Linked DNA regions of Mus musculus. The protein of the gene in region 3 interacts with the protein of the main gene of each other region in a pairwise test. Links are inferred from orthologs where the notes say so. Each region holds a gene or a part of one and is shown on either strand. Other genes may lie near its edges.

The links. The genes of interacting proteins can lie anywhere in the genome.
Region 1: the proteins of Ahcyl1 (region 3) and Cdkn2c interact in binary tests that used the Homo sapiens proteins (3 or more experiments, as listed by UniProt). The two-hybrid records come from large-scale screens. The link is inferred for Mus musculus from reciprocal best matches to the Homo sapiens genes AHCYL1 and CDKN2C.
Region 2: the proteins of Ahcyl1 (region 3) and Slc23a1 interact in binary tests that used the Homo sapiens proteins (3 or more experiments, as listed by UniProt). The two-hybrid records come from large-scale screens. The link is inferred for Mus musculus from reciprocal best matches to the Homo sapiens genes AHCYL1 and SLC23A1.

Annotation. Positions count from the first base shown.
Region 1 is NC_000070.6:109,663,957-109,668,109, reverse strand, and holds the start of Cdkn2c (cyclin-dependent kinase 4 inhibitor C), read left to right. Parts: upstream 1-1,353; 5' UTR 1,354-2,500; intron 2,501-2,737; exon of another isoform or gene 2,738-2,952; 5' UTR 2,953-2,963; coding exon 2,964-3,092; intron 3,093-4,153. UniProt on the Homo sapiens protein: Interacts strongly with CDK6, weakly with CDK4. Inhibits cell growth and proliferation with a correlated dependence on endogenous retinoblastoma protein RB.
Region 2 is NC_000084.6:35,624,428-35,628,392, forward strand, and holds the start of Slc23a1 (solute carrier family 23 member 1), read right to left. Parts: upstream 2,801-3,965; 5' UTR 2,737-2,800; coding exon of another isoform or gene 2,711-2,736; coding exon 2,675-2,710; intron 2,067-2,674; coding exon 1,932-2,066; intron 1,539-1,931; coding exon 1,381-1,538; intron 850-1,380; coding exon 761-849; intron 641-760; coding exon 573-640; intron 437-572; coding exon 255-436; intron 122-254; coding exon 1-121.
Region 3 is NC_000069.6:107,676,061-107,679,560, forward strand, and holds part of Ahcyl1 (S-adenosylhomocysteine hydrolase-like protein 1), read right to left. Parts: exon of another isoform or gene 2,229-3,500; intron 1,772-2,228; coding exon 1,660-1,771; intron 1-1,659. UniProt on the Homo sapiens protein: Multifaceted cellular regulator which coordinates several essential cellular functions including regulation of epithelial HCO3(-) and fluid secretion, mRNA processing and DNA replication.

The sequences.
Region 1 (4,153 bases), on a different chromosome or scaffold from region 3:
TTTGTATTAGTGCTAGTTATCACTTTAACAGTGCCAATCTCCTATCATAGCTTCCAGATAACTAAAAACTCAGAGTTCCCAGAATGTATACATGGAATACAGTATACATGGAATCCTAAATATTCTGTTAAAATGATTTTTAAAGAAGTTCATCCCCTTTGTTGTTACCTGATTCACAATATTCAGCTTTCGATACCTCAAAAATTAGCTCTAATCTTTTTCTTAACAACTTAAAGAAACACTGCCAAATTCTTGTAGTTCCAATTTTCCCTAACAGCCAACCTGTTGCTAAATGACTATCCAGATGTCTCTGGCTTGTTTGAATACTTTCACTTTACTCCAAGGAACTGGGTTACAGATGTTACTTGAGGATATATGTGCAGTGGCTGGTTCTAATTAGACCAATATTTGGGGGGGAGGGGAGGCGGAGGGGGGGTTTGGTTTCATTTTGACCACTGAATGCAACCATGCTGGTGTTTTTTTAAAAGCATAAAAGTATAGAAGGCAATAATCTCATATGCCTACAAGAAGACGTGAAAAGTACAGAAAATTGATGAATATGAAATATATGGATGCACTGGTCCTTTTACACTTAGACCACCATCCTCACCTCCACCTAAAAACAACCAATCCTCGGTGTAGTGAGTGAAAGAAATCCCCCAATAAAGACATAGCCTTTTTAGAAAACCTTTCTAACTCACTGTAAGCTTTGTTTAAAGTTAATTGCATTTCTCCTTTTCCCTCAAGACTAGAAGTTCACATTTTCTAGACCCTGAAGTTCGTCGGGATTTCTTGTAATATGCTTTCAGTTCTCATAAAACTCGGTCTACAAGACTTCTCTGCCCTGTGGTGCTGTCAGTTGTGTCGCCTCTGCAGCCCTGGCAATGACCTGACAGGTGCCAAGGCCTGTGGCAGAGCAAAGGAGTCCAGCAGCCCCGGGCCAGGCCACTCGAACTCGGCGAGCCTGGTCGGGGAGCGCCGAGGAGGGTGGAGCTGCCCGGCTCCAGCAGAGGAGATCCTACCCGTCAGCTGCAGGGCCGCCGAGCCTCTAAGGGCCTCCGCCCGCACCCGCGGCCTTAGTTACCACCACCGGGGTCCCGCACGGTAGAGGCTCCCACTCCAGCCAGCCCCAGAACAGCAGGCCAGGCCGGGCCGAACCCACCCCGCTTCGGCAGGGGAGACTAGCGAAGCGAGAGGGCAGGCGGGAGCGCCAGCGAACCCAGGCCCAGCGCGGGCAGAGAAGGGCGCAGGGCCGCGAGGGCGGAGCGAGCGGGCTGCCGGCCACTGCGCCGCCAGGGCGTTGGGCGGGGCGTGGGCGGGGCCCGGCCTTCCCGCTCCCGCGGCGCCCTAACTCGGCGGAGCCTCCTTAAAACTCTGCCGTTAAAATGGGGGCGGGTTTTTCAACTCAAAAAGCGCTCAATTTTTTTCTTTTCAAAAAAAGCTGATGAGGTCGGAAAAAAGGGATAAGAAACCGGCACAGTACCTTCAGAGGCAACCGTAGCAGCAGTTGCTTCAGCGGAAAAAGAAGCAAAGGAGGGAGGGAAGGGAAAGATCCTAAAGGAAAGACGCGCAAGTGTCTGTAGCGGAGAAGGGAGCGGCGATCAGAGATTTGGGGGAGTCGGACTACAAAAGAAACTGTCAGCTGCGGCTCGCGACCGGCCGGCGCAGCCTGCCTCGGCTCCGGAACCCAACTGGCTGGCAGCCGCTGTCCTGTCCGCGGCACTGATAGGGGCACAGGCCGGAGGACCGCCAAGAACTAACTGGCCAAGTGGCACCGAGCGCCCGAGCTGCTGGGCGGCCGCCAAGAAGTTGGCGGGACTGGCTGCGCCCGGGATCTGTGGCGACCGCTCCTACTTCCAAAGACCCTTCCCATCATCGGACGCCCCGGGAAAATCTGAAAGGGAGGGAACGACAGCGGCAGAGGCGACGGCCGCCCCTCAGCGAGCGCTTGCAGTGAAGAGCCTGAGCTAGCTCGGTCGTAGGCGGGAAGTTACTGGTGAGCTGGCCGGGTGCAAGAGCGATGCTGCCGCGAGCTACCCCAGCGGCTGGAGCCCCATAGACGCTTCCCCCTTCGCCGTGCACCGTCTTCAGGCTGCCGGGAGTCCCGGGACCCGGCGGGGCCGGCATGACGGGCTTGGCGGGGGTCTGCCGCACACCCACCAGCCTCCGGAGACCCGCGCCCTGCCCGGCTCCCACGGCCTCTGAGGCTCGGCGGGGCTGCGGCAGCTCGGCGGGCGGGCTCCGGAGGCTCTTCTGAAGACGCCGAGCCCGCTAGGGAGTCGTTGAGACCTGAGAGTTGAGGGCTTCAGAGCTGCTGCTCTGGTCTGCCCTCAGCGATCGTCTTTAACCCTCCCGAGCACGTCAGCATCCAGCCAGCGCGGCGCTCTGCTAGCGAGCGAGCAGCACTCTGGACTACCCCCTTCGGCTAGACGGATGGAAAGTGAGCTCTGCGAAGGACCTGACTCTGAAATTCTGCCTCAAATCACCACTGTGAACAAGGGTGGGTTAATACCTTTTCTACTCTCTAATACTTTTTCTTTCGCGGTGTTGTCTGAGCTGACCTAGTCCTTTAAGTCTCCGCAACATCTTCCTCACAGAGCTGTAAAGCTTAGGTACGTGACAGCTCTGCCTACATCTCACGTCCATAGTAATTAATCAAGAACTGCTTCTGTGTATGTATCTCTGTTGAATCGCCAGAATCCTTCTTAGGGGTTAAGCTAAAAAGCTAGAGAAGGAGCCCCTCTCCAATGGGCTCACTTTTGCTGAATAATCACGTGTGAATCGAGGGGCGGGCTTTTGGCAGGCCGACCTTACTAGTATTTACTACCAAGCTCTACTCCAGATTAACCATCCCAGTCCTTCTGTCAGCCTCCGATGCCATCATGCAGCCTGATTAGGAGCAAAGGAAAGGGGAAAAAGAGAAGCAACTAATCGTCTTTTCCCGATCGTCAGGACCCTAAAGAATGGCCGAGCCTTGGGGGAACGAGTTGGCGTCCGCAGCTGCCAGGGGGGACCTAGAGCAACTTACTAGTTTGTTGCAAAATAATGTAAACGTCAACGCTCAAAATGGATTTGGGAGAACTGCGCTGCAGGTTGGTATCCACAGAGGTGGGGAAAACAAGTTAATAAGGTTGCCTGGGTTTCTAAAATGACAGCTTTTAAGTTTGGAGGGGTACAGATCTTCACTGTTTTAAAACCTTCATGGTTGCCATATTTTATATCTTTAAGTGGATCCAACTCCCCAAAATGACGTACTTTGGAGAAACTGGTCAACTCCAATAACATCCTCGATATCAAGAGAATCTTAGGTTTGGTCATAATTTTTGGAATGCTTTTGTGACAATGGAGGTTTTAAAGTATTCTTATCGTCGAAATCTGTTTGTTTTGTGCAGTGTTGTTTTAGATAGCTCTTTAAGCACATTATTATGATTATTATTTCAAGTAAATACACAGCTAATGGTGGTATTCACCTATTTTGATCCTAATAATTGACTTTAAAGTTAATTCTCTTGACGTCTAGGCAGGGTGTTTTACCTTCAGCTGTTTCATGTCTTAACAAACGACCTTTCCTCGCTTGGTATGGGATAGCCTGGGCACCCGGACAGGGTGTACATTTTCACAGTTAATATAATACCTAATCCACCCATTCAGGAGTGAGGAGAAATTAAAAAGTTGAATTTCTAATCAGAGCCGAGTCGTAGTGGTTTTCTTATCCCTGTGGTCATGTAGTGGCATGCTCTAATTCTCAGTAATTAGATTTACAGGCAACGACTGACACATGTCCAGCTGCCAATTATGTACCTGATAATATTTTCCCCTCCAAATGGTATCATGTAACTTTTCTGAAAGCCTTAGAAGCAAAACATGGGGAAAGTGGTCTCCACTGGTTGCTGTTATTGGTGTTCTGATGGTATTCCTGGGAGCTTTCCCGGCCAGAAGCAGCTTTTGAAAAACCACCGGGGCAAGGGCATAAGAGATTTTTGTTTCTGTTTTAAAAAATAGAAATTTAAGTGGCAGGAGATGCCCTGGTGAAGGAAGCTCATTTGGTTTGTATATTTTAAATCAGAATACAGCTGGCCTTACAAAACCCTTCTCTGTTGAGGAAGCTTATGCAGAAATACTAAAATATTTATCTTGATTCAGGTAGATTAAA
Region 2 (3,965 bases), on a different chromosome or scaffold from region 3:
CGGAAACATCTTAAAGATCTGGACTCGGAAGAGAGTGAGACCCTTGCCCCATCGGTAAACAGGTAACAGGAAGGTGAGGTTGCGCAGATACTGGGAGAACAAGACTATCAGGAGAATGGAGCTGGAGGCAGAGACACAAGAAGAAAATAGCTGGTGGGCCAGGTTGGGGCCCAGAAACAGATGAGAGGATAAGAATGAAGGGGATGTGGGGTAGCGCCTAGGACTGGGCAAAAATAGTCCTGTTGCCTGCTCACCAAGCCGAAATACCCCAATGAGAGCCAGCTCGGTCACCAGCAGCTTGGAAAACAGAGAGCCCAATAAGGGAGACAGTGGGGGTGACGGTGAGAGGCCCAATGTAGCTGAGCAGGGCCCCAGGCAGCCCCATCAGCCCAATCACCACCTCCACCATACTGGACACCATGATTGCACCCTGGACCTAAAAAGGCAAAATGAGCTATAGTCACTTTGACCTGGCATTATCAATATGTAAGTTCCTCAGCCACCTCCTTGCATACAGCTTAGCAGTGGCCTGCCCACCCAGCCCTTCCTTCAAACCCAATCTCTTCACCCACCTCCCGGATACGAGGATGCCAGATATGGGAGGTGTTGAGAGGCATACTCCAGTTACCGTAGATCTCTTCTGCAGACAGATGGAGAGAACACACTGCCATGAACAAACACACCCTGGTGCCTAGACTCTGGGAAGCTGCCCAGACCTTCACGACCTCTCCACCAGTGCAGATGGGCAAACTGAACCCACCTTCTGAAGGACACTTCCACCTCTCCAAGGCCAGGATTGACTTGGCTGGAACCAGAAAGGCAAAGGCACTGGCCTGGAACAACGGCAGCCTGGAAGGCGGGGCACATAGCAGTGGTGGAGTGGGTTGAGGAAAAGGGATAAAGGGAAGTCCCTAAGACCCCACATGGAGTCCCGCCCCCACATTTTCAGGGATCCTCCAGTTCAAACCCTGCATCTTGCCTTCAGCTCCCCCACCTCAGTGCCAAGAAGAGACATGTGCTCCAAAGCAGACTGCTCCATTTCTGAATCTGAGGGCTGCCTGCGATTGTTCCCAGCTACCACCACTGAACCCAACAGACTTGTTCATCCAAGACTAGGAATCCCCAAGTCTACATATGGATGCTGAAAAGGCCTGCTCACAGGAATGGACAGTGGGCAAGGAAGCAGTCCTTCTAAACCTTTGGAGCAGAGTGAGAGGAGGGAACCGCAGGGCTCCTAGGAACCCAGCTACCTAGCCCTCGGGCTAGGCAGGCAGACAGGGCAGCCAGACAGGGTAGAAGCCAGCTGGTCACAGCCCACCTGTTCTGCCGTATGCTCGCATGCGAGTATGTGTGCTTGGGAGCCGGGGAGGAGCCGCTCACCGGATGCCCACTGTAGTCTGGATGAGAGTGGTGATACCCACACAGGTGAAGATGGTACCAATGAGCTGACTGACCATGTGCTGGTCACGGCCCACACACAGCGCCTCAGCCAGGAGGAAGGGCACGGCGATGGTGCCACTGAAGCACGTCAGGTAATGCTGGGGTGAGAGACGGTCGAGAGGTGACCCCATAGCACTCTCATGGCCATGGGCACCCGGGTCTGTGTCCTGAACCTGGACCATACTGACAGGGTGCTTACTTGAAATGACATTACCCACCACACCCGACAAGGGATTCCCAGAGAACTACTGCTCACCCACCACTCGGGGCCCAGTCTCCCCCAGGTTAGCCCTACCTACCGTTCCTGTCTATCATATGCTACCCACAATCCTCCCAGGCCACTTAACCTTCTTTGGCACAGCTGTTTGGTGACAGTGACTGTGCTGACCTTGTCTCTTTCTCTAGCCTGAAATGACCTTCCTGATCAGAGGTGGCTCGGGATCCCGGGGGAGTAGCTCATGTAGAGCTGGGGAGGTCTTGTGAAAACCCACCTGGAAGCCCAGCAGGATGCACAGGTACCATGGTGGCACATCCTCAATCTTGTACAACATGTCAAACTTGGGCTCCGTGGGCAAAGGTGCCTGCCGGTCCCTGGTGGAAGTCCCTGCTGAATCCACGACCTCATGCTGCTCAGGGAAGTAGGGAGCCACGGCCGCTCAAGGCAGAGCGATGAACCAACCGGCAAAGCCCGCGCTGCCTAGACTAAGGGAGCTACAGCCGTCTCCCAGCAACTCAGTGAGGGCAGGATGCGGCAGCAGCTACCCTCCCCAGCTGGTTCCCAGTGGTCCTTCCCACTTCCCACGCCCTGCTGTGGGGATGAAAGCAGTGTCCTGGCTTCCAGAGCCCTTAAGGGCTTTCTAGTGAGGCCCCTAAGTCAAGAGACTGGGAAGGTATCAGACCAGAGTGGGATCAGACTGGGCAGGTCTAGACTGTGGAGAAGCCCCCTCCTGTCCCACCTCTATCTCCTAGAGGTTCTTGAAGGTGCCACAAGGTGAGAAGAAGGCCCAGCCCCTAACTGACCTCCAAGCCCAAGTCAGCCAGGCCCTAAACCTAAGGTTCCCTCACCCCTTCCCTCCACCCCGTTCCCCGAGTGCCACTCGAGGCTCAAGACTGTCACTTTTTGTCATTTGGCAATGTTGTCTCTGCCTTCCCAGAAAGATCAGTCCAGCCCCAGCCCCAGCCCCCACCCGCCGTGCCCCTCGCCCAGGTCACAGCTTCGCTATGCCCCCAGCACCTGCTTTGGGCTCCCGGGGTCCTCCGGAGTTTTCATCTCTGAGGCACAAGTTTGAGAAACCTCTGAGGAGAAAAGAAGAGGGCTTTCCCAAGGCCAAGGAGGACTTTACTCCACTCATCAGACATTGTTCGAAGTCAATCTGTAACCAGGTCCATAGCTCCAGATTGCGAAAGGGGACTGGACAGAGGTGAGGTATTAACTCTGGCTCCGGTGGTAAAGGCCGCCCAAGCAAGGGGCACGTTTATCTGCTGAGTATCTTCTATGCTACCCGCATCCCAGCCTGGCACAAGGCCTGTTCTTGTTTCCCTAGTGAGGGCCAGAGTCTACAGGGTGAAGAGGGGACAGTCAGGGGATGACATGTGAGGAGAGGGAGAGGACATGACTCATCCCCCGCTCTCCAAACCCTCTGCACTTATTAATGGAAGTTTATCTTATCACCATTGCTGCTCTTCAGGAAGAGGATCAAATGCCATTACCTGAGTTTGTATATGCACTGTCACATGGACCCTCTGGGATTGCATATGTTAACTCTTTCACTGCTGAAAGAAAAAGACTTAGTAGTGATATGACCACGGTCAGACAGGAAGTGAGGTTCAATTCAGGAAACCAAGGTTAAATTCAGGTTGGTTTTGGCGCCCCCTCCCTGCCATCCTTCAGCACATAGGATTCCTGAGGTATCCACAGACAGGCCTCTGCCCCTGTGTCAGGATGAGCATCTTAGTCAGGAAGAACTACTCAGTTTGGGGGACCCTGTAAAAATGAGAAGGGGCATCTTGTTGCAAAAACATTAAGACTTTTGTTGTGTCTAGTGGCTAATGCCTGTTATCCCTGTACTCAGGAGGCTGGGGCAGGCGGATCCCAGGGAGTTCAAGCCCAGCCCAGCCTACCTAATGATTTCCATCTAGGCCACCCTGGACTATGCACTTAAAAAGGAACACACAACATAGCAAAACTCTATCTGAAAAGTAACAGGGAAGGGCCAGCTGGGCTCCTCAGGTAAAGGCAGAGACCACCAAGCCCAGTAACCTGCCTTGACCTCTGGGACCGGAGGACGAGAGCTGCCATCCATAGTTCATCTTCTGACTGCCACATAGACCCCTCTAGCAAAACACCCAAACTCAACCAACACAGACACAAATGAAAGCAGACAGACAGGCAGGCAGGCAGACACACACACACACACACACACACACACACACACACACAAAAACACACACACAGACACATACACACAGACACACGCATGCAAACTAATAATAGATAAATAAATAGCCAGGCATGGTGGCGCACG
Region 3 (3,500 bases):
CTGTAAGATGACCATGAAGACCTTTGAGAACTTCACTTCCTCCACCTGTTCTCCTTCCAAAGCTCAATCTTCCCACATGAAAGTCCCCTCTCTGTTTACTCTAAGTGCTCTGCTCACCCCACTCTAATTTAGTTTGTCGCTTCAGATACCTTTTCATTTTTGTTAGCCATCCTATTTGGGATTGTTTCTTGCATGCTTCAGCTCCACAGAATCTATATAACCGTGTATTTCAGTTTACCCTGCTTACCTTCATTTGTTCTTGTTTGCCTATCCTGCCTTTATTGGTTGGATTATCAGTGTCACAGAGAAGAGATACAATTTTCTTTGATAATTTTTTTTACACTCCTTAAACCTCACAACCAGCCCTTGAAATTTAATAAAACAATGCAAATACTACTGGTAAGAACCAGTGAAGGGCTTGTCATACCAATCCTCATTAACATTAAAGCCTTTCCTCTTTAACTATCTCTTCTGTTGAATGATGACGTTGTCTCAGTCCTCTCTAAATGTTTTCCTCAGTTCCCTTTCTAAGACTCATAAGCTTCTGTGACTGTGTCTGCACACAGGAAAGTCAGAGAGGCCAACCTCAGTTCATCTCAGGTGCCACAGGTCATCCCCAGACCCGGAGCTCACTGATTAGGCTAGGACAGGCAGCTGGTCAGCCAGTTAATCTAGAAATCTGCTTGTTTTACCAGTACTGGGATTGCAAGAATGTATCCCCCTCCCCACCTAGCTTTTATTTTTCTTTTTATCATTATTATTTAATTGGCTATCTTCTTTATTTACATTTCAAATGTTTTTCCAGGTCTCCCCTTCGGAAACACCCTATCCCATCCCCCCCTACCCACCCATCCACTCCTGTCTTCCCACCCTGGCACTCCCCTACACTGGGGCATTGAACACCCTCAGGCCCAAGGGCCTCTCCTCCCACTGATGTCCAACAAGGCCATCCTCTGCCACATATGCGGCCAGTGCCATGAGTCCCTCCATGTGTATTCTTTGGTTGCCCACCCAGCTTTTTAAGTGGCTCGAACTCAGGTCCTTATGCCTGCAGAGTAAGTACTTTACTGAGTCATCTCAGCCTCTAAACACCTTTCTAGTTATTTCTTAATACCTTCTCTGTGGCTGAGATAGGCACAATTTAACCAGAACAAAGACTTGACTTACTACAGATGGCTAAGACAGGAGGGTAGGGAAACAGCTGGAGTCACATTACAATAGTTTATATCTTCCCATTCCAGAAATTAACAGGGAAAGGCATATTAACATAAAGGGTAATCTTATAAATAAAAGGAGACAAAAATATAAATTTTATTGTCATAATTCAAGCTGTTTTAGCAACAAAAAGAAAAACATGGGTGGAAGGGTATGTTTTATGCAAATAACTTATGTTTAAAAGTAAATTTCTTTTTACATGCCAGTTCTGAAAGCAAAAATACCACTGATTCTCCCCCCCTTGCAAATGTGGATATAGGAACTTCCCAGTGCCACTAACTAGGCAATGATCACAGACCACACAGAAAACAGCCTGGGAAAGAACATCTTAACAAAAGCATCCTCAGCTGCAAGTCTTGCTGGGAATGATTCTCACATTCTAAGTATTAGTGAAGAGCACCCGTGAATAAGACGGGACAGAGGGGACATCAAAGTCATACCTACCTGAACTGTAGCTGTCTGTGGAGGATTGTGAGATGGAACGAGACAAAGATCTCCGGCCAGTCTTAGTAGGGAATTTGGTGAACTCTTGCATGTCATCAGCAAACTGGATTTGCTACAAGAGAAAGGGTAAGAAGCTGAAAACTTAGTACACGGGAATTGTATGGATCTTATTTATCATGTGCAGGTACCCGAGGCACACAAGAAGTCAGAGGGCAAACTGTGGGAGTCTGCTCTCTCTTCACCACGTGAGTCCTGGAGATAGAACTTAGTTGTCAGCCTTGGAGGCAGGCATCTTCACCCTTGGAACCATCTTGCTGTACGAAAACTTTTCCTTTTCCAAATCCATACACTAACTTTCCTAAAATTCGGCGTCACCATGTGGTTCTTACTGTGGCAGTAACTCTCATCTGAAGGGCGGGGAAGAGGCTGCTTTCTGAACTCTGTTACAACTATTGTCTTGGGCTAGCTCAGCAGTTAAGAGCACTCACTGATCTCCCAGAGGTCCTGAGTTCAATTCCCAGTAACCACATGGTAGCTCACAACCATCTATAATGGAATCTGATATGTCCTTCTGGTATGTCTGAAGACAGAGACAGTGTACTCATATAAATAAAATAAATCTTTAAAAAAAAAAAAAACCAACCCTACTGTCTCTTTCCAGTTATTTTAGGAAGATCTAGGCTGGGGGTGGGGGGGAGAGAAGGAGGTAGAAGACAATTCTGAAAAGCCATTTATTTTAGTAACTATCCAATTTTACTAAATTTTCTTCATCTCATTAAGTTTCTCCCTTCCCTTTTATCTAACTTTTACACACTAACACTAAACTCTTTATCCTTTCACCCAATTCTATCAGAAAGCAGATATAATCTCACATCTGGTTCTCCTGTAGCATATTCTTCCTCTGAATCTGGCCATGGCTTTGCTTTTGAATGGTATGTCTAGTAATCGCTAAACACATTACAGCCAGCTATGTCGTCTCTAATTCATAAAACCAATGTAGTATCCCTAGAGTTCTGTAGCACCAGTAAAAAATTTAAAAATCAGAGTGTACGGATGAAAGAGAAGTTTTAAAACGAACACCAAATTCTCCATTAATTACATCCTAACTAATCAGGATGAATCTAAAAGAAGAAAATTTGACAAGTTTTAAAGGTCTTTGTAGGTAGAATAAATTATTTTTTAGGTAGAACTAGTTATTTGCAGTTTTATATTTGCAGAATATATATTTTTTTAATGACAAGATCTTTTAAAAGACTTAGGCTAGGGGCTGGTGAGATGGCTCAGTGGTTAAGAGCACTGACTGCTCTTCTGAAAGTCCGGAGTTCAAATCCCAGCAACCACATGGTGGCTCACAACCATCCGTAACGAAATCTGATGCCCTCTTCTGGAGTATCTGAGGACAGCTACAGTGTACTTACATATAATAAATAAATAAATCTTAAAAAAAAAAAAAAAAGACCTAGGCTAGCTCAGAACTCACAATTCTCCTGTATCAGCCCATTAGAACTTGAGTGTTAGGGCTATATGTATGTGTCACCATATCTACATGGTAGAATATTTGGACCACTGGCTTTAATAAATTGAAAATAGTTTGTAATCAGTATTATTTATAAACAAAGTAATATGTAAAAATATGGAATTATATGGCTTAAACCAGTGGTTCTGAGCCTTCCTACTGTTTAGACCCTATAATATAGTTCCTCATTTGTGGTGACCCCCAAGCATAAAATTATAAAATTATACCGTTATGTAAGTAATTTTGGAGACAGAAGTTTGGCAAATGGGTCTCAATGCACAGGTTGAGAATCACTGAACTCTCACATGAATTCTGATGACCTCTT